Linked DNA regions of Coturnix japonica. The protein of the gene in region 1 interacts with the protein of each later gene in a pairwise test. Links are inferred from orthologs where the notes say so. Each region holds a gene or a part of one and is shown in the gene's direction. Other genes may lie near its edges.

Region 1 (6,256 bases):
CTGTGTGAGGCCAAACCCACAACCAAACAGAACAAGGCCACAAAATCTATCACCCAGAGCCCTGCTCACCTTGGGCATGGCCTTGGACATCACGTAGATGAGGATGAGCAGCGAGGCCAGCAAACCAATGCTTATCCCAGCTGAATAGAAGAAGAGCTGGCTCCTGCAGAGATCACACAAGGTATTTCATAGCTTATAAGATGGGCACAAGCACATCTGCTGGCTGGAACCAACAGAAAGGCACCCCACGTTCCCAAACATCCATGAGGGAATTGCATAGAGCCCCATAAAGCTCATGGAGTGAGGCCTGGCCTGGCCAGCCCTGCAGGCATAGAGAAGCTGATAGAAATACTCTGCCTTCCCACAGTACCCACACAAAGGAGTCAGCCTGCAAATCCAGCTCACAGGGGACAGGAGGCCACTCACCTGCTCAGCATGTCCCCGCAGAAGAACAACAACAGGCCCAGGAAGAAAACCAGGAACAGTTTGGGGTCAAACCCTGGAAGGAGAACAAACCCAGGTTAGGAGGAGTGCAAGCTCCATCCTGATACACTGACAGCAAGCAAGGTGGGGCAATGCCCAAGGCAAAGCCCTGTCAAGTACACTGTGCTCCTATTCTCTATCCCAAGGAAGTGAAGTGTTCCTCCTCTACAAACCCATCTTTCTTTGTATGCAACAAAACAAACTTGCTGTCCCTTATGGGAGGACCCACAGCCCAAGCACAGAGCAGACGTACAGCGGGTCAGCACGATGCAGTATCTGGTCCCAGCCTCCAGCAGCTCGACCTTCAGGCAGGTTTTGTTGCTGTAAAGATCCACGTCGATGTTGGTGCTGTTCAGCTTCTCCTTCAGCAGCGAGGAGAGGAAGCTCCAAACCTTGGATTCCTCCAGCTCCCTCAGCTCCTCCTCGCTGCCCACCTGGGTGACGCGGATCATGTGGTTGCTGTTCACCCTGATCTAAGGGGGGGGGAGAAAACACACACGGGGTGGGCTCAGCTCTATGGTACAATGAGAGCCCACCTCCCCTCCTTTCCTTTCCCCCCTCACCTGCATCCTGGTCCAGATGTCCTTCCAGCTGGGGCTGCGTGTGTTGGTGTAGCAGAAATGATGGGAGGCGTCATGGCAGAACGCGGAGCCCTCCTGCAGCGGGGTCACCTCCTCCAGCCCCTTCCCCAGCACCGTCCCCATCCCACCGGCATCTTCACAGCACAGAAAGGAAGGAAGAATTAACACAATAGCGATGCGAGACCCCCCCCCCCCAACACCCCCTCCCCATTTGCGGGCTGCTCCCCCCCAAAGGGCCCCATTGGGTGCACATGGAGGCAGGACCACCCCTTAACCAGGACCCCAACACAGGACCCCCAACCAACGGCACCCTCAACACCCCCCCATTCTCGCACTCTCCATCCCCCCATCTCACACCGCCCTTAACCCAGACAGCCCTCAACCCGAGACCCCCAACCCCTCTCCCCCATCTCATCCATTTCCCCCCCGTTTCCCCCAGCCCCACACAGACCCCAACCCGGACCATACTCACTCCCCCCCCCCATCTTCCATCTCCATTCTCCATCTCCCATCCCCCTGGTTCCCCCCAGTCCCGCCCTCACCCGGGGACCCCCACCACCCCCCATCTCCACCGCATTCCCCCAGCCCACAACCAGAGCCCTTACACCGGACCAGGCCCCCAAACCCGGAGACCCCAACCCCCCGCCATCCCCACCCGAGACTCTAAAGCCGGATCCAGGCTATGGCCGCTCTATGACTCCATTATAGGCCCCCACTAGGCCCGCCCGCTCTCAGCCCATAAAGGCCCATTGTTCCGCCCGCCGCTCACCGGCCCCGCCCGGCGGAGGAGGCAGCGCGAGGAGCAGCAAGAAACACGACCAGGCCCCGCCCGCCATATTGGCACCGCTTTCATCCGCTTTCCCGCCATGGCGTTCCCGGCGACTTCCGCTTCCGCTTTCCCCACGGGACAACACCCAATGAGAGAGCGAGGCTTGCCTGACGTCATCAACCCGTGACGGGATTATCGTCTCCCTGCGTGTTGATTGACAGCGCGCTCGACCTATCAGCACAGCCTAGGCAGGATGCGGATTTAGCCCCACCCACACTCCACCAACGTGCTCCACTCGCTCCCGAAGCCATCCCACACCGTAGGCAACGCAGCCCGCCTTAGCAACGAGCTTGGACAGAGCAAGCCCACCTCAACCAATCAGCCGCTCAGCATCGTTTTCTCCCTCCCTCGCCACCAAGCCGGCTTGATTGACAAGCTCCTCCACCTTATTCACGGAGCGCACCGTCGTTGTTTTGCTTGGGGGGGGGGGTCTACAGCGGGCAGAGGCAGCGCGATGCTCATTGGACCCCACACTGGGGGGGGGGTGGCTCGTAGGGGCTGGATCCCGGGCTTGTTAACCCCCCCCCCCCAATACCCTTGGGCTCTTCGGCATTCCGTGGGCGGGTCGGGCTCACGGGCCGGCCCCCGGGTCAGTGGGCGGCGGAGCCGGAAGCGTGCGGGTCGTGGTGGAGGATGTGCGTCAAACGGGGGCGGCCGGACACGAGGGGGGGGGGGGGGTTGGACATGCATGGCCCTGGGGGGGGGGTCTTAGGGATTCGGACATAGATGGGGTCTATATGGGGTTCGGAATATATGGGCTCTATATGGGCTCTATATGGGCTGTTCCGAACGGGACCCCCCCCCACCTCCCCCCGACGGCTCCGGAACGCGGCGCTGTCGTGTCCCCCCCCCCCACGCGGGGCAGGGGCCGCGGGGGCGGCGGCGCCGGCTCGGTATAAATAGAGCCGGGCTCAGCATGGGGGGGGGGGGGCGATGGCAGAGAAATTCCTCCCCTCCCACGAACCGAACCGGACCCGCTCTGTCCCGGGGCTGCTCGCTCTGAAGCCCCCCCCCCACCCGGTGCCCGGACCCGGCTGCGATCCCATAACCGGGAGGTGGCACCGACACGGTGACAGCCGTGATCCCACTCACATACGGTGTCCCCCCCCCACCCCCCGTAGGCTCCGGTTGCTCGAGCCCCTGCCCGGGACCCCCAACCCCCGTGTCTTCACGTTGCTCTGCCCGACGGGACCCCCCGGTTCCGCCCTGCTCGCAGCCGCTCCCTCCGTCCCGGTTCGGTTCAGGGGGGGGGATGGGGCGGTCCTACGGTTCCCCCCCCCCCGTTTCATCCTCCCACGCCGCGCTCAGCGGGGGCGGCAGCCGCGGGTTCCGCCTCCGGAGCCTCCCACGCCGCAGCCGCAGCCGGGGCCGCTGCTATTTCTCGGTACCGCCCGTGTGGGCGGCGCGCAGAGCGGAGCGACTCGGCGGAGCGAACGAGCACGGCCCGGAATCGGGACCCCCGAACACCCCCCCGAGCCCCCCGGTACCGTCCGTCCATGCCCACGGGGTTCGCGTAGCGGCCGGACGGGGCTGCAGCCCGCGGTGAGAGAACGGGAGGGAAACGGGGGGGGGGTCGGAGGGTGAGTCGTGACATCGGTGTCCCCGTGGGGTTGGGGTAGAGCTGGGTGTGTTTTGTTGCACGTGGGGTGGGGGCACGAGTGGGTTCGTGATGTGGGAATGGTGGGGGGGGGTTTATGGTTCTGCCGTGGGGACCCACTCGTGTCTGTGTTGGGATCAGGGGGGATGCGGGTGTGGGGTCCAGCCTGATCAGTGAGCACGCGTGGGCCTGGGTGCAAGGTGGGGTCTGTAGGGGCCAAAGAGGGGGGGGCTGAGACTTTGCTGTCCCCGTGGGGTAGAGAAGGACTGGGGCAGCCCTGGGTGTGCTCTGCCCTAAGCGGTGCCCCATGGGGTGGGAGCACGGGTGGGGCCACGGGGTGTGGGGTCTCCAAGCTCCTCAATGGGGACCCACTCGTGTTTGTGTTGGGGTCGGTGCAGCTGTGGATGCTCAGTGGAGACCCCAGGCCAAAAGGTGGGTGGGGGTGGGGGGGGTCCGTCCGTCCGTCCTTCCCCCGTCACGCCGTCCGTCCGTCTGTCCCATAGGCTTCACCATGGCCGTGCCCCGCACGCTGGGGGAGCTGCAGCTGTACCGGGTTCTTCAACGTGCCAACCTGCTGGGTTACTACGAGACCTTCATCCAACAAGGAGGGGACGACGTGCAGCAGCTTTGCGAGGCTGGCGAGGAGGAGTTCTTAGAGATCATGGCGCTGGTGGGAATGGCCACCAAACCGCTGCACGTCCGCCGACTGCAGAAAGCGCTGCGGGAGTGGGCGTCCAACCCGGGGCTCTTCAGCCAGCCGGTACCGGCCGTGCCCGTCAGCAGCATCCCCCTCTTCAAGCTGAACGACGGCCGCAAATCGCTCAGTAACGGGCACAGCAGCCCCGGAGAAACTGCGGGGAAAGGGGGGGGCAACGCGGGGACGCCCCCAGCCCGCAGCCCAACGGAGCCGTCGGAGAAGTTGTCGCCGTCGGGGGTGTCGCCGTGGCCGGGGAGGAGCACCCCGGAATCGGAGGGTGGAGGGGATGAGGAGCCCGGAGCTCCTCCGTTCTCACCGGGGGGCGCCGAGCAGCCGTCGGGGGGCGATGTGTTGGAACCGGAGTTGGTGCGGACGGTGACGGAGAGCGTGGAGAGGCTGCTGCAGAGCTGCCCCCGGGGGGGGGACGCGGAGCTGCGGGCTCTGTTGAAGCTCAATAAGAAGTTGGCCAAAGCCGTGGGGCACATCTTCCAACTGGAAGACGGAGACCGGCACAAGGAGGAGGAGATCCGACGGCACAGCGCGATCTACGGGCGAGGGGATGCGCGGCGAAGGGAGGGCAAACAGCTGACACTGCACGAGGTGGGGGGCGGGGTGGGGGTCGGGCTGGGCTGGGGGCTCGCTGTGACCCCCCCCCTCGGTGCTATTGACGGCTCTGTCCCCGCAGCTCATCATTAACGAGGCTGCGGCTCAGTTCTGCCTGCGGGACAATTCGCTGCTGCTGCGGCGCGTCGAGCTGTTCTCGCTGTCGCGACAGGTCGCGAGGGAGAGCACCTACCTGTCCTCGCTCAAGGTGTCCAGGTGAGCAGGGGGGGCCCTCAGCATCCCCCCCCCCCCCCAGTGGGGGTTTCCCCTATGGGAGCTGCACCACCGGCAATTCCGGGCGGGGGTGGGGGCTGCGAGTTCCCCTTTCCATTGCTGAGGCAGTTTGGTGCCTCAATGTGTGTGTGTTGGGGGGGGGGGCACAGCACAGGGGATGCTGTTGGAGCCCCCAGTCCCGAGCTCCTTTCCCCCCCCCCACCTCCATAAGCTGGCGCTGCTCTGCTCCCTCCCCCTGCCCCCCCCGCCCCGGTTCCATCTGTACCAGACCCCGCTGTGCCCCACAGCACCGCCCCATAACGTGAGTGGGGGGGGGGAACCGTGCGGTGCTGCCCCCGCACTGACGCAGCCCTTTGTGCTCCCACCCGCACAGGGCGCAGCCCGAGGACGGCGGGGCCGGCGCGGCCAAGCGGCTCAAACAGGAGGTGGGTGCGGGGGGGGGATGCGTGTATCGGGGGGGGGCACACGCGTGTGCGTGCATGCACAGCTGTGAGCGTGGGCAGCGGCCGCCCACGTGTAGGTGTGACGGCTCGGGGGGGGGGGGGAGCCCGGTGTTCACCCGTGTGCTCCGTGCAGGTGGGGGAGCAGAGCCGCCCCGACCCCCCCCCCTCAATGGGATCGGAGCTTCACGCAGCCCCTTATCGCAATGAGGAGGATGCGGGGGGAGCGGCCGCAGACAGCCTGGACGGGCAGGGTGAGTGAGTGGGGGGCACCGCGGGGCCGCCCCCTCCCCTATTCCCCCCTCCCCGGGCTGTGACCCTTTCCGTCTGTTCGCAGCGGTGGGGCTGTGTCCCCGTTTGACCCCCCCGCCCGGCGTTGCCCCCGATGGTCCCATCGCGCTCCCCCCGCACGGGCTTTGGAGCCGTCACATTCTGCAGCAGACGCTGATGGACGAGGGGCTGCGCCTGGCGAGATTGGTCTCCCACGAACGAGTGGGGCGGCTCAGCCCCTGCCTGCCTGGGAAGCCCCCAGGTGAGACCCCCCCCCCCCGCCCACTGTTGACCCGCCCAGCCCCCAGAGGAGCCCCAAGTGAAACCCCCCCCCCAATGTGAGCCCCAGCCATTGGGAGACCCCCAGGTGTGCCCATCATGAGCCCTTGTGAGCCCCCACCGCCCCATCATGAGGCCCCCCTGGCCCCATCATGGAGCCCCCCGCCCCTTGGTGAGCCCCCCACCCCCGCTCTCCATTGCGAGCCCATCGGGGGCTGGTGGGTTGTGCTTGACCCCCCCCCC
Region 2 (6,256 bases), on another chromosome or scaffold:
CTGCGTCCACTCACACCGTGGGGCTGTGGATACGACTTTCCACTGCCCGCGACCCCCGTAGCCCCTGCAGACCAATTTCCTGCCTGCAGACCCGCTGCCCACCCCCATCCCGTCCCCATCCCGTCCCCTCCCGCCGCCCCCAGCCCCATACCGGTCCCAGCCCCGTACCGGTCCCTCTGTCCGTCCCTCGCAGCTCCCGCAGCTCCGCCGTGGCCGCGGGGCCCATCCCTGTCCCCGTCCCGTCCCGTCCCGCCCCGCTCCCCGCCCCAGGGCCGCCCCCGGCGCAGCCCCCGCCCCGCTCCCCGCACTGAGCTCCAGGTTTAAGGTGAGATTTATTGAGTTGTGCTGGTGAAAGGTCCTTAAGGCATCCGGCAAATAGAGCTCGGAACATCCCGGCATCGCTCCCATCTGCAGCGCTGGAAGGGTTGGAGGCAACGGGATGGTCATGGCTTGGGATCCTCAGTTCCTCTGCTGTGGGGTCAGAGAGGTGTTGGGTGCCCGGAGCTGTGTGAGACCCAAAGCCCAGCAGCACCAACAGGATGAGGCCACCCATCAAACGTCATTCCCTGCAACAGCTCCTGAGGAACGTGGATATTTTTCCTCTGTGCTATAAAAGCTTGGGAAATCTTGAGGTGCCCCCAGGGTACAACTGGTTTATTGCTTGAATTTCGATAGAAAATGAATGATTCTTGTTAGAAAAAAAGGCCTGTCGGGTGCAGATCCGCAGCAGGATGGGGTTTGAGGAGCGGAGCGGCCCCGCTTGTTGCTCTGACCCCATTAAGCTTTGTAGCTCAGCTCGGCGTTCATCCGGGTGTACATCTCATAGATGGCATCCAGGATGGGAGTCACCCTGGTGAGGAACTGGTGGATCTTCTCAATGCTCTCCTCCTCCTTCACCTCTCTGCCTTTCTCCAAAGCCTTCAGCAGATCTGACTTGTAGGGCAGCGCATAGACCGAGCCCTGTGGGATGGGGTGAGAGCAGAGCTGAGCCTTGGCTGTGGGGATGCCCAAAAGCCAATGGGACCCCCATGTCCCACTGCCCACCCCACAGCGGGGTGACCCCATGAGCAGCAGCTTATGGCACCTTAGAGACATGGCATGGAGAGGATGGCTCATCTCAGAGGTCCTTCCCAACCTTAATGGTTCTATGACCCCCTGCCCCGGCTCTCACCATGAAAAGCTTCTGCAGCATCCAGCCGTGGTATTTCTTGAGGGCAATCTCATAGGCTTTCATGGCATTGACACGGATGAGGTTGGGATGCTCCTCATCCCGCTCGCCATCGGAGATGCTCTGCAGCAGCACCAGCATGAACTTCAGGCCCCTGCCAGGGAGAAGGAGGCTGGTACCGTGACCCCAAACCCGCTGTGGGGTGACACTCTGACCCTGAGCCCTACACGACCCCCAGCCCCACATTAGGGGCGATATAACAACCCAATCAATCACCTCTTCAGCCACATCAGCGCCAGCGTGGCTCCGGTCTTAGGCCATGCAGCACCGTGCATTTCCTTCTCCACCTCCAGGATGTTCTGCAGCGTTTTGAACTTGCTGGGGTTGGACTCATAAACAGCCCGGATCTTCTATAAGGGTACAGAGGTTTGGGGTCAAGGTGGGCACCCACAGCCGGGTCCTGCAGTGCTGTACATGGGGTGGTGACCCCCCCCACAACCTCATACCTTGATGTTCCCAGCCAGGTCGGCTTTGACGGGTGAGTACACGATGGGTGTCCCCAGGCAATCTGCGGGGACAGGGGGTCACAATGGCTTCGCCCCGTGCCCGGCTGTCCCCGTATGGCTCCGTACAATGGCGCATTGTATGGAGCGGAGGTTCGGCCCCGTTCTGTCCCGTTCTGCCCCATTCTATCCCGTTCTATCCCGTTCTGTCCCGTTCGGCCCCGTTCCATCCCTGTACACCCCGGGGGTTGGGTCGGGCCGTTTCCTAACGCTGTCGCTCAGCGGGTCGGACGGGACGAGCCGCCACACCCGGCCCTGACGCAACTGGGGCGGGACCGGGGGCGGGACCGGGGGGTGCGGACCGGGACCGGGACCGGAACCGGGGCGGGGGTGGAAGCTTGGGGGGGTGTGGGACCCTATAATGGGATCCCGGGACCGGACGGGGCTGGTGTTGCTGAGCGTTCCGTGCCCGCGGGTGGCGGCGTCCCGGTTCGGTCCGGTCCCGGTCCGGCAGGTTCCACAGCCCCTGGCCCAGCTCTTACCGAAGAATGGCGGCAGGTGGGACACGGCCTCCAGGAACGGCAGCGTCTCGATCTGTTTGTCCGCCGGCAGCGGCCGGAACTCGTGCTCTAATAGCAGCGCCATGAACCGACCCGGCACGGACCGAACCGACCCGGCACCGACCCGGTAGCGCGCCACGCCGAGACACGCCCATCAATGAAGCCAACCAATGGGTGAGCACGGCCCACCGAGAGGCGGCCAATAGGAATGAGAGGGCGGGACTTGTCCGGGTGAGTAGGCGGGGCTTATGGTAGAGGTGGGCGGGGCTTGTCTCAATGTGGGCGGGGCTTACGGTGTGCGCCCATCCCGGTATCGACCGGGACCGGACCGGGACCCCCAGCCCGAACCGATGGGGTGGGGGGTGTCCGCTGTGCCTATGGAGCACCCAGTGCCTATGGTGCAATCACAGCCGTCCCACCGGGCTCACTGCGGGCGCTGCGATCGGGTGGCAGTGAATGATTCAGCCGGTGTCCCGATGGACGGAGCTCAATGAGCCGAACCGGGCTGAGCACGAGGCCCGTCCGCATCCCGTTACAGCTCCATACAGCCGGACACCTATGGGCGCTATGGATGCGCTGAATGAGGCGTGGGGCGACTCCTGACAGCGCCCAGCTGTGCTCAGGGCCAGGAAACACAAACCTTCCACCGTGCTGAAATATTCACAGCTCCATTAATACTTAAAGCACTGCAGCTCATGTATTGCGGCCTCATCCCGACCCGCGAGGCCAATTCGTTCACCCCGATGCTTTTTGTCCCTCGGCGCTCCCCGTACCCGTTGCCATGGTGACCCTCGCGGCCTACATTAGGGCCTAGTGATGGCGCAGTGGCGGCCGGCGCTGGGCCGGGCCCTGGAGCGGCAGCGGGAGAGGGAGGCGAAGAACCGGCTGCAATGGGACACGTACAACCGCTCCTTCCAGCTCGCCGCGTTCTCCTGCTCCGCTCAGGCCCGTTGGAGCGAGCCGCAAAATGCGGGCGGCACGAGCACGGGGCGGGGTGAGGAGGAAGGGATGAGGAAGCGCAGGGAGAGACTGAGGGAGATGCTGGGCGCTGAGCGGGACGCGCTGGAGGCTGAAATACAGGCCGAGATACGAGCGGAGCCCGGCGGGATGGAGGAACATGGAGGGATGAGGAAGCGCTGTGAGGAGCTGAGGGCGGCACGAGAGGAGAGAAGGAGGCAGGTGAGAGATATGGGGGGGATGGGGCTGAGCTGGGCCGTGTGGGACCCATATACTGACACTGCTGTGTGGGACCCATATACTGACACTGCTGTGTGTGTCCCATATACTGACACTGCTGTGTGGGACCCATATACTGACACTGCTGTGTGGGACCCATATACTGACACTGCTGTGTGTGCTTAGGTCGCCGAGAAGCTGCTGCGGGAGAGATGGAAACAGAACAGCGAGGAGCTGAGGGAGGTGAGGAGTCACGGCACGGGATCCCCACAAGGGTGCTTTATCCCAAGGGTGCTTTATCCCAAAGTCCATCTGTTCCCACTGCCTGCAGTGCTCAGGGACACCCACAGCTCCATCAGTGCTCACAGCACCATCCCCTGACTGTGGGTGTCTGCAGGTGCTGGCAATAGAAAAAGGCTCTGACAGCGCTGACTCTCTGCAGGTGGAGTCAGAGCTACACAAGAAGAACGTGGTGGAGTCCTGGGGTGAGCAGCTGAAGCAGAAGCAGCAGGTATGTTGGAGCTGCATGAAATGTGGGCTGTAAGCAGCTGGTATTCCTGTACTACCTGGACTAGGAGCTGGCTATTTGTTTTCTTTTGTACTATATAGTGACTGAGTTGGCCTTGCTTGTTCCCATAGTGGTGCGAGGTTCTGGTGTCTGCAGGATGCTTGGAGTTGATGGGAAGTATCTCATCTCCTAGAAAATCCAATGTTATCTGCTGAACAGATCTATTTAGTCTCATTTTCTCATTTCCTTCCCTAGCACATCTTATCCTGTGTCCTTCAAATAGGTGTCAGCTTCCTGGAAGCTGATTTGAGCATCTCCTGAACCACAGGCTGTTCCTTTGAGTTTAGTCTAACCTGAAATGCAATGCTTTCTTTTGGCTCAATAAGCAACAAGCAACGGAACGAGGAGAGAGAAAGCTTCTTGAAAATGAATGTGAAATGGCACGAAGGGAAGCTGAGGAAAGAATGAGACAAGAGGAAGAGAAACGTCAGCTGGAGAACAAGAAGCAAGGGGAGCTGTTGCTTCAACAGATAGAAGAACTGAAATTACGGGAGGCAGAGGTAACCTTCAGCTTCTCCTTGTGTAGGAAGAAAGTTCATTGCTTCACTTGGAAACACAGCAATGCTGACTTGACCTCTTCCTTCCAGATTTCCCCCTAGATTAGATTTGGAACAAAGTCAGCTGTGCTTTGTAATGCAGATCTCTCTGTGAATACAGGCATGTTAAATGACATCTCGTAGGCTTCATTTGCACCTCTTGAAATGTGGGCACCCTTCTGTGCTGTATTGGATGTAGAAACACTGCAGTGTGAGAGGTTGCAGTAGCTTTTTCAGCTGAAGCTCCTCACCTTCTCTCTTATGCTGTGAGTCAGTAGGATGCAAATGGTGTGGAGTATCTACCACGATTATGAGTGTGGTACAAGCTGGTACTGAGGCTCACTGGGATGTCTTAGCTCTCTGAAGCACTCACTTGGTTATTGTTTGTTTCTCCTTTTCAAAAATGTTAGGCAGCCAAGCTGAAGAAAGAGCAAGAGGATTTATTAAAGCAGCAGTGGGAGCTGGGAAACTTAGAAGAAGAAAGAAAGCAAATGGAAGAGCGCCGGAAGAAGACTGAGCTTGGGTATGCAATGTAGCTCTAAGCAGTGGTGGATGGGATCTCTTCCTGTGACCATGATAGTACTTGCAGCAGGAGGAGATGTTTTAGATAGCAGGGGTGGGCAGCAGATGCTTGCTTGTTTTGTTGGAAGTGCAAGAACAGCTACTGAGCATAAATGCATTGGTGCCATTGCTACTTTTTGCTCGTGTTAGAGGTAGCAGGTATCTCTGTTGCCTCTGTGTATTTTAATGTTGTAAATGCACTTTCTGGAATGCTGGTATACAATATAATAGGGCTTTAGAGATGGTCTGAATGCTGGTATACAATATAATAGGGCTTTAGAGATGGTCTGAATGCTGGTATACAATATAATAGGGCGTTAGAGATGGTCTGAATTTGTTTTGTTTTCTTCCTTCAGTCGCTTTTTGTTGCATCAATATGATGCCCAGTTAAAGAGACGAGCCCAGGAGGTACAGGACGAGCTGGTAAGAGGAAAATACCTTCTGATTTGTGCAATATAGATAATAGAATCATAGAATTACCCAGGTTGGAAGAGATCTTGAAGATCATCAAGTCCAACCGCACCCTAACCAGTACCCTGACTCTAAAAACCCTCCACTAAATCATACCCCTGAGTAGATACTGCCTGCTGAAGGAACTTGTTGTGTTTCATGTATGTGTCTGCCTCCAGTGCCTACAGATAAGCAGTTAGGAGGCCTCTTCTGGCTTATGAACAGGGCTGGAGTGAAAAGATCAGAGAGAAGCAGGCAGTCAGAGTGTCTTTCTGAGGACACCCTTGACACTATGTCACCAATGATTTGTACAGAGTACTAAAGTACACAGGCTGGAAGCCCGCTGGATGGTTATTAATCTTTAGGGGTTTTTTTTCCCCTCAAGGAAACAGACAGACAAATCTTATTAGCCATCCTTGAGAAAGAAGAGGAGGATCAGCGCCACAAGGCTGAAAAACGAGAGCGAGCTGTTGCAGACGCTGCCTGGATGAGAAATGTCATTGAGGAACAGCTCCAGTTAGAAAAGGAGAGGGAGGCAGAGCTACAGGTTATTTATAGGTGTGTATGCAGCTCTGTTATACATCGTCAAAAGGGAATGTATGTGCTGGATGTTCTTCTCTATGTGGCAGAGCTCATTTCTGTTTGTTAAATAGGTGATCATCTAGAGGTGGACACTAAAAAGAGGTGCCTGGTAGGCCTTGCTGTTGTAGAAATGTGCCTGTTTATTTAAGTAA
Region 3 (6,163 bases), on another chromosome or scaffold:
GTACTCTTCTGATTTCATTACAGACACTTTGCTCTACAGTACTGTTACCAAGGGCAGAACTTAAGTTAGCCTCCCCCACTAGAAGCGATTCTAGCAAGTGATCACTTACCAGTTCTCTTTCAGGTCTTCAGGAAGGATATAATCTCCCCAATTCCATTTCATTGGAAACAGCTGCTCCCATTACCTGTACGCAAGGTTTCAGAAAGTTCAAACCACAGCTTTGGAGCTTGTGTCTAGGGATTTTACAGGAAATGCCTGTCCATCAGCCCTTCTGCCAGAACACATATTGTCTGGGCTGTTCTGAAGAGTCAATTGTTACAACTCCAAGAATAGGCAATAATAAGGACAGTCTAAAGCACATCCTTTGGGAAACAAATTGAAGGAAGAAGGTTTTAAAGGAATTCATACATATTTTCTTTCAAATAATTCCACTATAAATGTTTGTTGAATGGGAGTACATCTCTGCAAAATTTCACTGCTAATGCTTGACCAATACACAACATCTTCAGAACTGTTAGAAGAAAGATTTCTATTTCATTAAAAGGAAACACATTGTTCTGTGATTCTATTATTGCACTGTTCTCAGGAACTGCAAACTCTTTCATAAATGTACATCTAAGTTAATAAACAAAGTAATCATTGTGGCAATCTTGCAAGTTTCTTGTCTGATGGCACAGATTAACTGTTCACCAATTGTCTAACCAACATTTTCCCAAATATTTCTGTGGATATTTAACAATTTATCAGCTGGCAGAGTATCTTATCTTGTTTAATAGAAGTCTATTCTTTTTAGAGAAGTAGATACTTAGCACAGCCAACATTGAAATCTCAAGGAAAGCAAGCTGTTACTGTAGCACTGATTTTATCCTGGAAAACCCTGCAAAAACACAAAGATATGTATATATACCATTACACAAGTATATGAATATAACAAGTATATCATGTTTATCCCTTGGTTTACTTAGGAGTAACTGAAAAAGCATTATTGCAGAATCATAGAATTGTAGGGGCTAGAAGAGACCTCTAGAACTTTTCTAGTCCAACCCCCCTGCCAAAGCAGGCTCCATAGATCAGGCTGCACAGGTAAGAGTCCAGGTGGGTCTTGAACATCTCCAGAGGAGAATCCACAACCTGTCTGAGCAGCCTGGTTCAGTGCTCTGTCACCCTTACTGTGAAGTTCTTACACACATTTGTACGTAACTTCCTATGTTTCAGTTTGTGACCATTTCCCCTTGTCCTATCACCACACATTGCTGATAAGAGTCTGGCCTCATCCCTTTGCCTCCCGCACCTTAGGTATTTATAGACATTGATCAGATCCCCTCTCAGTCTATTCTCAAGGCTGAACAGACCCAGGTCACTCAGCCTTTCCTCATAAGAGAGATGCTCCAGCCCCTATATTTTCTGGAACAGTGATTAATTAGACCAAACATAGTTTAATGGAGAAGGCTGTGAGTAAGGAACCTCCCTCAAATAGTGGCATCCTTTGTTCTGATCTCTGTTCCTGGGAAGACTCCTCACACAGGGCTAATCATGCTCCTTGTGTCTTCCCTGCTAAAGGAAGACTGCGCCAGTTCTGAAAAGCCATGCTGTCTTCTTCCAGTTTTTCAGCTCCTCTTCTGTACAACTTCAGACTTGTCCCACACTTTGTTGCTGCACAAAAACAAGGCAAAAAAGGAAGCCTGACTTCAACTGCGTAACCAGTTGTGTATAATACACGGAACGAGGTTGACCACTGTAAAAGCATTACGTCACTCACGTATTTACCAAAAGGGCTGTTTCTGCCTGGGAATCGTCCTTGGTAAGAGGCAGGAGCCTTTCTTGTCAGTAGAGGGCAGCATAGGCCTCATCAGTGAATAAAACCAAGCTCATTTACGTAAAAATCATACGGATTTTCACCGTAATTGCGAATAAACCCTATCATACGCCCGTAAGTTTGCCAGAAATACACATCTTTCCCAGAATCACTGTGAATACTCTGCGTACAATGCATGCGAAAGAATAAAAGGCCGTGGCATTGCTCCCCCCGGGTCCCGCCGGCACCAGGCCGCGCTGCCCCCCCCCCCTACCCGGCCCGCTCGCAGACATGGCGGAGCGCAGCGCGGCCTGGGAGGTGGGGAGGGTTGCGCCGCATTGAGGCCCAGCGCGGAGGTAACGGGGTACGGGTCCGTATTGCTGCATATTCCCCAGCGACACAGCTTTCTCTTAACCGATATTGCTCGAGGGTGAGGCCGAGGGAGGCGGTGGGGCCTGGCGCAGTGTCCGAGCACCGCGGGATGGGTGCTGGGCGGGCCCGGTTGGGGGAAGAAGAGGCGTCAGTCAGTGTGTGACAGGTGACAGGAAGAGGGGAAATGGACTTGGATGCATTTTTACTCTGTCTTGGTTTATCAGTGGAAGTTTTCTGCACTAAGGAAAAGTGGACTATGGTTTTGAATCTGTGAAGGTGTATGGCTGGAGCAAGGCACTTACCCCAAATGATTTTGGAGAGGGCAGGTTTTTTTCCCCAAGGGTTAGCTTCTTAGTTTTAAAAATGAGACAGTGGAGATTTGGGTTAGATCTGAGGAGGAAGTTTTTCACACAGAGGGTGGTGATGCACTGGAACAGGTTTCCCAAGGCGGTTGTGGATGCCCCATCCCTGGAGGCATTCAAGGCCAGGCTGGATGTGGCTCTGGGCAGCCTGGTCTGGTGGTTGATGACCCTTCACATAGCAGGGGGGTTGAAACTACATGACCATTGTGGTCCTTTTCAACCCAGGCCATTCTATCATTCTATGATTAGTTAGCAGAAAATCTCTCACACTGGTTTGTTTGTTTGTTTTTCCCCCATGCAGTGATTTTCATTTTTAAAACCTTTGGATTCAGTACAATGTTTTGGGATGACTGTATTTCAAACCTGAGGTAGTCTGTTTTATTTATTTTTTTGTTTGTTTGTTTGTTTTCTCCTTAAAAGCAAACTGACTTACTAGATTTTTATTGATCACCATTGCTAATTCTTGTACATGCAGTGACTCATTATGCCATGTGGTCAAGTGTGAGAGATGGTAATGATTTGGCAAGAAAGTACCTCAGCAGCACAGTATTACAGAGCCTAATTGAAAATGCAAACCAGTTTCTATCTTCACTTAGAATTCAGATGGATGTTCCCATACTTTGCTGAAATTAAGCAGAATGGAAATGCCTTGTGTTACTTCTTGGAACAAGGAAGACAGCAGAAAACTGCTGACTGTTTGTTCAGCAGCATTTGCCAAATAGCATTAAATCAAGTGGGGTAGTGGTAAAATTCCAAATGTTTTAAATGTCGGATGAAAAAACAGTGTATGGCACAAAGACTGGATGAGGGATTAAAACCTTCCCTCCAGTCTGTGACCAGGCACCTTTGGGCCTACAGGGTGTTTTGTTGTTGTTGTTGTTGTTTGTTTGTTTGTTTTTTGAGGGTTTATTTTGCCAAATATTATGCAAATAGGTATCTTAAAAATGTAAAATTTCCTAAAGGCCATAGGGAAATCGTTTTATCCCCAAGGCTGGGCTTTCTCATTGTGCACTATTACACAAGGCTGCATGGGTTTGCTGTACTACAGCCCCCTCAAGTGGTAAAACATTTTCCCATTTAAAACTGCAGCCAACTCCACCACCTCACTGTTGTGCCATGCTCCAGAGAGGTGAGTAAGTTTCATTGTGTAAGCTTCATAACTAATAATGGATATTTGTAGACTACCAGCAGTTGTTTTAGACTTCTGTTTTCCTATTTGCTGAATAACTTGCTTCAATCAGTGCTTTTGCATATCTGACAGCAGAAAAAACAACAACCCCTTGGCGGCATGCAGGGTGTCTGACTGTTCCCTAGATTAGAACAAGCTTACAGAATTCCATCTACAAAACAACCAAAGAAAGTATTCATGTACCTGGGAGAAGAACATAGGCTGTAGATTTTTGGTTTTGCCATTATGCTGCAAAACATCAAAGCCCTGTTACACAGCAGAAACATCAGTGTTCAACGAATGTGTGAGTAAGAAAGAAAGAAAGGCTTACTCTGCTTAGGTTCAATGTGAACTTTGGCTAGAAAATACCCTCCAGTGTTGCCACTGCATCAGTAATTCTTTGTTTCTCCCTCTAAGAACATGGAAAACATGCAGTAGACTCAGAGTATTTACTTGTATCTGGATTCTAGAAATGTTCCTTGACATACTGACTTAATATGAAATGCTCTGCAGGATTCCCTGTGTTAAACACTCTGCCTCAACCTTTGAAGGAAGCCAGAAGTTTTAAAATGTACTGGGTTTGTGCTTGTTCTCAACATCAGCCTTGGTGATTAAAATCCAATTGCCACTTGTCTTACAGAGCAGCAGTGCAAAAACAGCATTTTTAGTTTCTCATCACACTGCCTTTTAATATGGAAGCTGAGATGAAATCTGTGATTGTCTAGGTAGTGGAATACTTTATGGTTATGGGTATGTATCACTTTTCAGCTTGAAGTATTTTAAGGTCTTTTGAAAACTGGGTACACACAGCAAAGCAGTGCCGTGCTGTGTGTACAATGCTTTCTCTTCAGAAACCCTTCTTCTCATTTGTCATTGATGAAGGCATACTTATTACTTTTACTTGGTTGTTTCCCTGCTGGTTGTTTCTTGTGTTTCTACTTGCAGATAATGAATATCCCACTCCGCTGAAGATGTTAATTACAGATTTCAATTCTGGTCTTGTCATGTGTTTTGATGACTTTTTTTCCTTTCACACAGTTCTGCTGAGTAAGAGGGTCACCCAGTTCTCTTTGCTGTTTGTCATACGAGCTGAGGAAAGCACTTCCTCAGAAGTGATTGTTTGGACATAAACGTGAGTAGTTTAGTGGCTAACTGAATTTCCAAAATTAGTTTTAAACTTCTATATTTTCATGCCCACATTCTGTTATCCATTTTTGTTCAGCTGCAACCATAACCTTTACTTGAATTTGCTGTTGGATAAGCTTGAAAAAGTAAATGCACCACTATGGAGATCTTAGGATTTCTAGGAATTTAACCACTGCATTACTGTGGGAAAAAGTCTTAAGGTAGAACATATATATTATATTTATCTAATCCAAGACAGACTACTAGAAGGTGAATGTTTGGGAGATGGGGAGCTGTCCTGCTGTAACCATGGCCACCCTGCTTAAGAAAACAATTCTTTCCACTCTTACAGACTCTGTGGTTGGTTACCAGAACAAATGAGGAAGGATTTGGCTATAGGTGCTTTATTTTATTTTATTTTACAGTTTTACAAATATATTTGAAAAAGCGTATCTCTGTTTTCTCTCTGTTTCTGAAACTGCTTTAGAAAAATAATTTCTGTTATAAACATTATTTGAGCTCTCACGGGGCTTCAAAATGTCAGGCAAGAATGAGCCGTTTCAAGACAAGTGAAGTGAAAGCAGACAGCGTTTGCTATGGAGGTCAGGCTGGTCTGTCGTCTGTGCTTGTAGAAACATAATGAAAGTTGATCCTCGCTGTCTTGTCCTTCTTTTCTTTTGAGCTCCAAGGCCCTACCTAATGTTTAAACTTATTTCTGGCATGCATAGTACAACTGAAAGCTGCGAAATGTGCAAATTGTCCAGCTTTCTTTCTTCCTCTTCTTTCCCCCCTTCCTGGGAGATTTCATCATGGAAATAGTGATGGTGCAAGAAATCTACTTGTGAGTTCCTTCAAATGTGCGTGTGTGTATCTGGCCTTGCATCAGTTTCCAAGTGCAAGTGACCTTTTATAGGGTCATGATATATACAACTTCAGCCAATAATTTTTTGCACAGATACTGAAGACTAAATCATAAGGAAAGAGGACGGGTGCTTACAACACACCACTCACTGTGCCTACACATTTAGTTCTGTTCAACAGCAGGAGAATAATGTTAGTAATGTCAGAATATATGGGATCATGCAATAAGGCTCTGGCTGGAAGACAATACATGTATCAGTATTAGGATACATGTGATGTGTCTTTAACTCTTAAGGATTTGCAAAAGTAGCAATTAGGAGTTTGCAGATGTTCTCAAATCAGTTTGTAGGTGTGACTGTTTTTGGGTAGCCTTGATGATCAAATTATAACGTAATAACAGAGCTAGAAAGGGAAAGAGCGACGACAGACATGTTAAAAGTTTACCAGTCTGATGTGCGTCCCTGGTTAGCAGCTGTGAAG

Evidence for each region.
Region 2: the proteins of NAB2 (region 1) and TCHP interact in binary tests that used the Homo sapiens proteins (3 or more experiments, as listed by UniProt). The two-hybrid records come from large-scale screens. The link is inferred for Coturnix japonica from reciprocal best matches to the Homo sapiens genes NAB2 and TCHP.
Region 3: the proteins of NAB2 (region 1) and TCEANC interact in binary tests that used the Homo sapiens proteins (3 or more experiments, as listed by UniProt). The two-hybrid records come from large-scale screens. The link is inferred for Coturnix japonica from reciprocal best matches to the Homo sapiens genes NAB2 and TCEANC.

Annotation. Positions count from the first base shown.
Region 1 is NC_029544.1:1,653,061-1,659,316, reverse strand, and holds the start of NAB2 (NGFI-A-binding protein 2), read left to right. Parts: upstream 1-2,626; 5' UTR 2,627-3,435; intron 3,436-3,993; 5' UTR 3,994-4,001; coding exon 4,002-4,787; intron 4,788-4,872; coding exon 4,873-5,006; intron 5,007-5,397; coding exon 5,398-5,449; intron 5,450-5,600; coding exon 5,601-5,718; intron 5,719-5,801; coding exon 5,802-5,996; intron 5,997-6,256. Other genes in the region: NEMP1 (nuclear envelope integral membrane protein 1), read right to left, coding at 70-163, 427-499, 737-956, 1,047-1,198, 1,834-1,900. UniProt on the Homo sapiens protein: Acts as a transcriptional repressor for zinc finger transcription factors EGR1 and EGR2. Isoform 2 lacks repression ability.
Region 2 is NC_029530.1:5,973,387-5,979,642, forward strand, and holds the start of TCHP (trichoplein keratin filament-binding protein), read left to right. Parts: upstream 1-3,001; 5' UTR 3,002-3,047; coding exon 3,048-3,410; intron 3,411-3,593; coding exon 3,594-3,650; intron 3,651-3,849; coding exon 3,850-3,918; intron 3,919-4,301; coding exon 4,302-4,475; intron 4,476-4,921; coding exon 4,922-5,034; intron 5,035-5,428; coding exon 5,429-5,495; intron 5,496-5,907; coding exon 5,908-6,080; intron 6,081-6,256. Other genes in the region: GLTP (glycolipid transfer protein), read right to left, coding at 778-960, 1,172-1,322, 1,445-1,578, 1,675-1,736, 2,214-2,316. UniProt on the Homo sapiens protein: Tumor suppressor which has the ability to inhibit cell growth and be pro-apoptotic during cell stress. Inhibits cell growth in bladder and prostate cancer cells by a down-regulation of HSPB1 by inhibiting its phosphorylation.
Region 3 is NC_029516.1:110,837,489-110,843,651, reverse strand, and holds the start of TCEANC (transcription elongation factor A N-terminal and central domain-containing protein), read left to right. Parts: upstream 1-1,911; 5' UTR 1,912-1,930; exon of another isoform or gene 1,931-2,025; intron 2,026-2,042; exon of another isoform or gene 2,043-2,165; intron 2,166-2,685; exon of another isoform or gene 2,686-3,658; intron 3,659-4,735; 5' UTR 4,736-4,829; intron 4,830-6,163.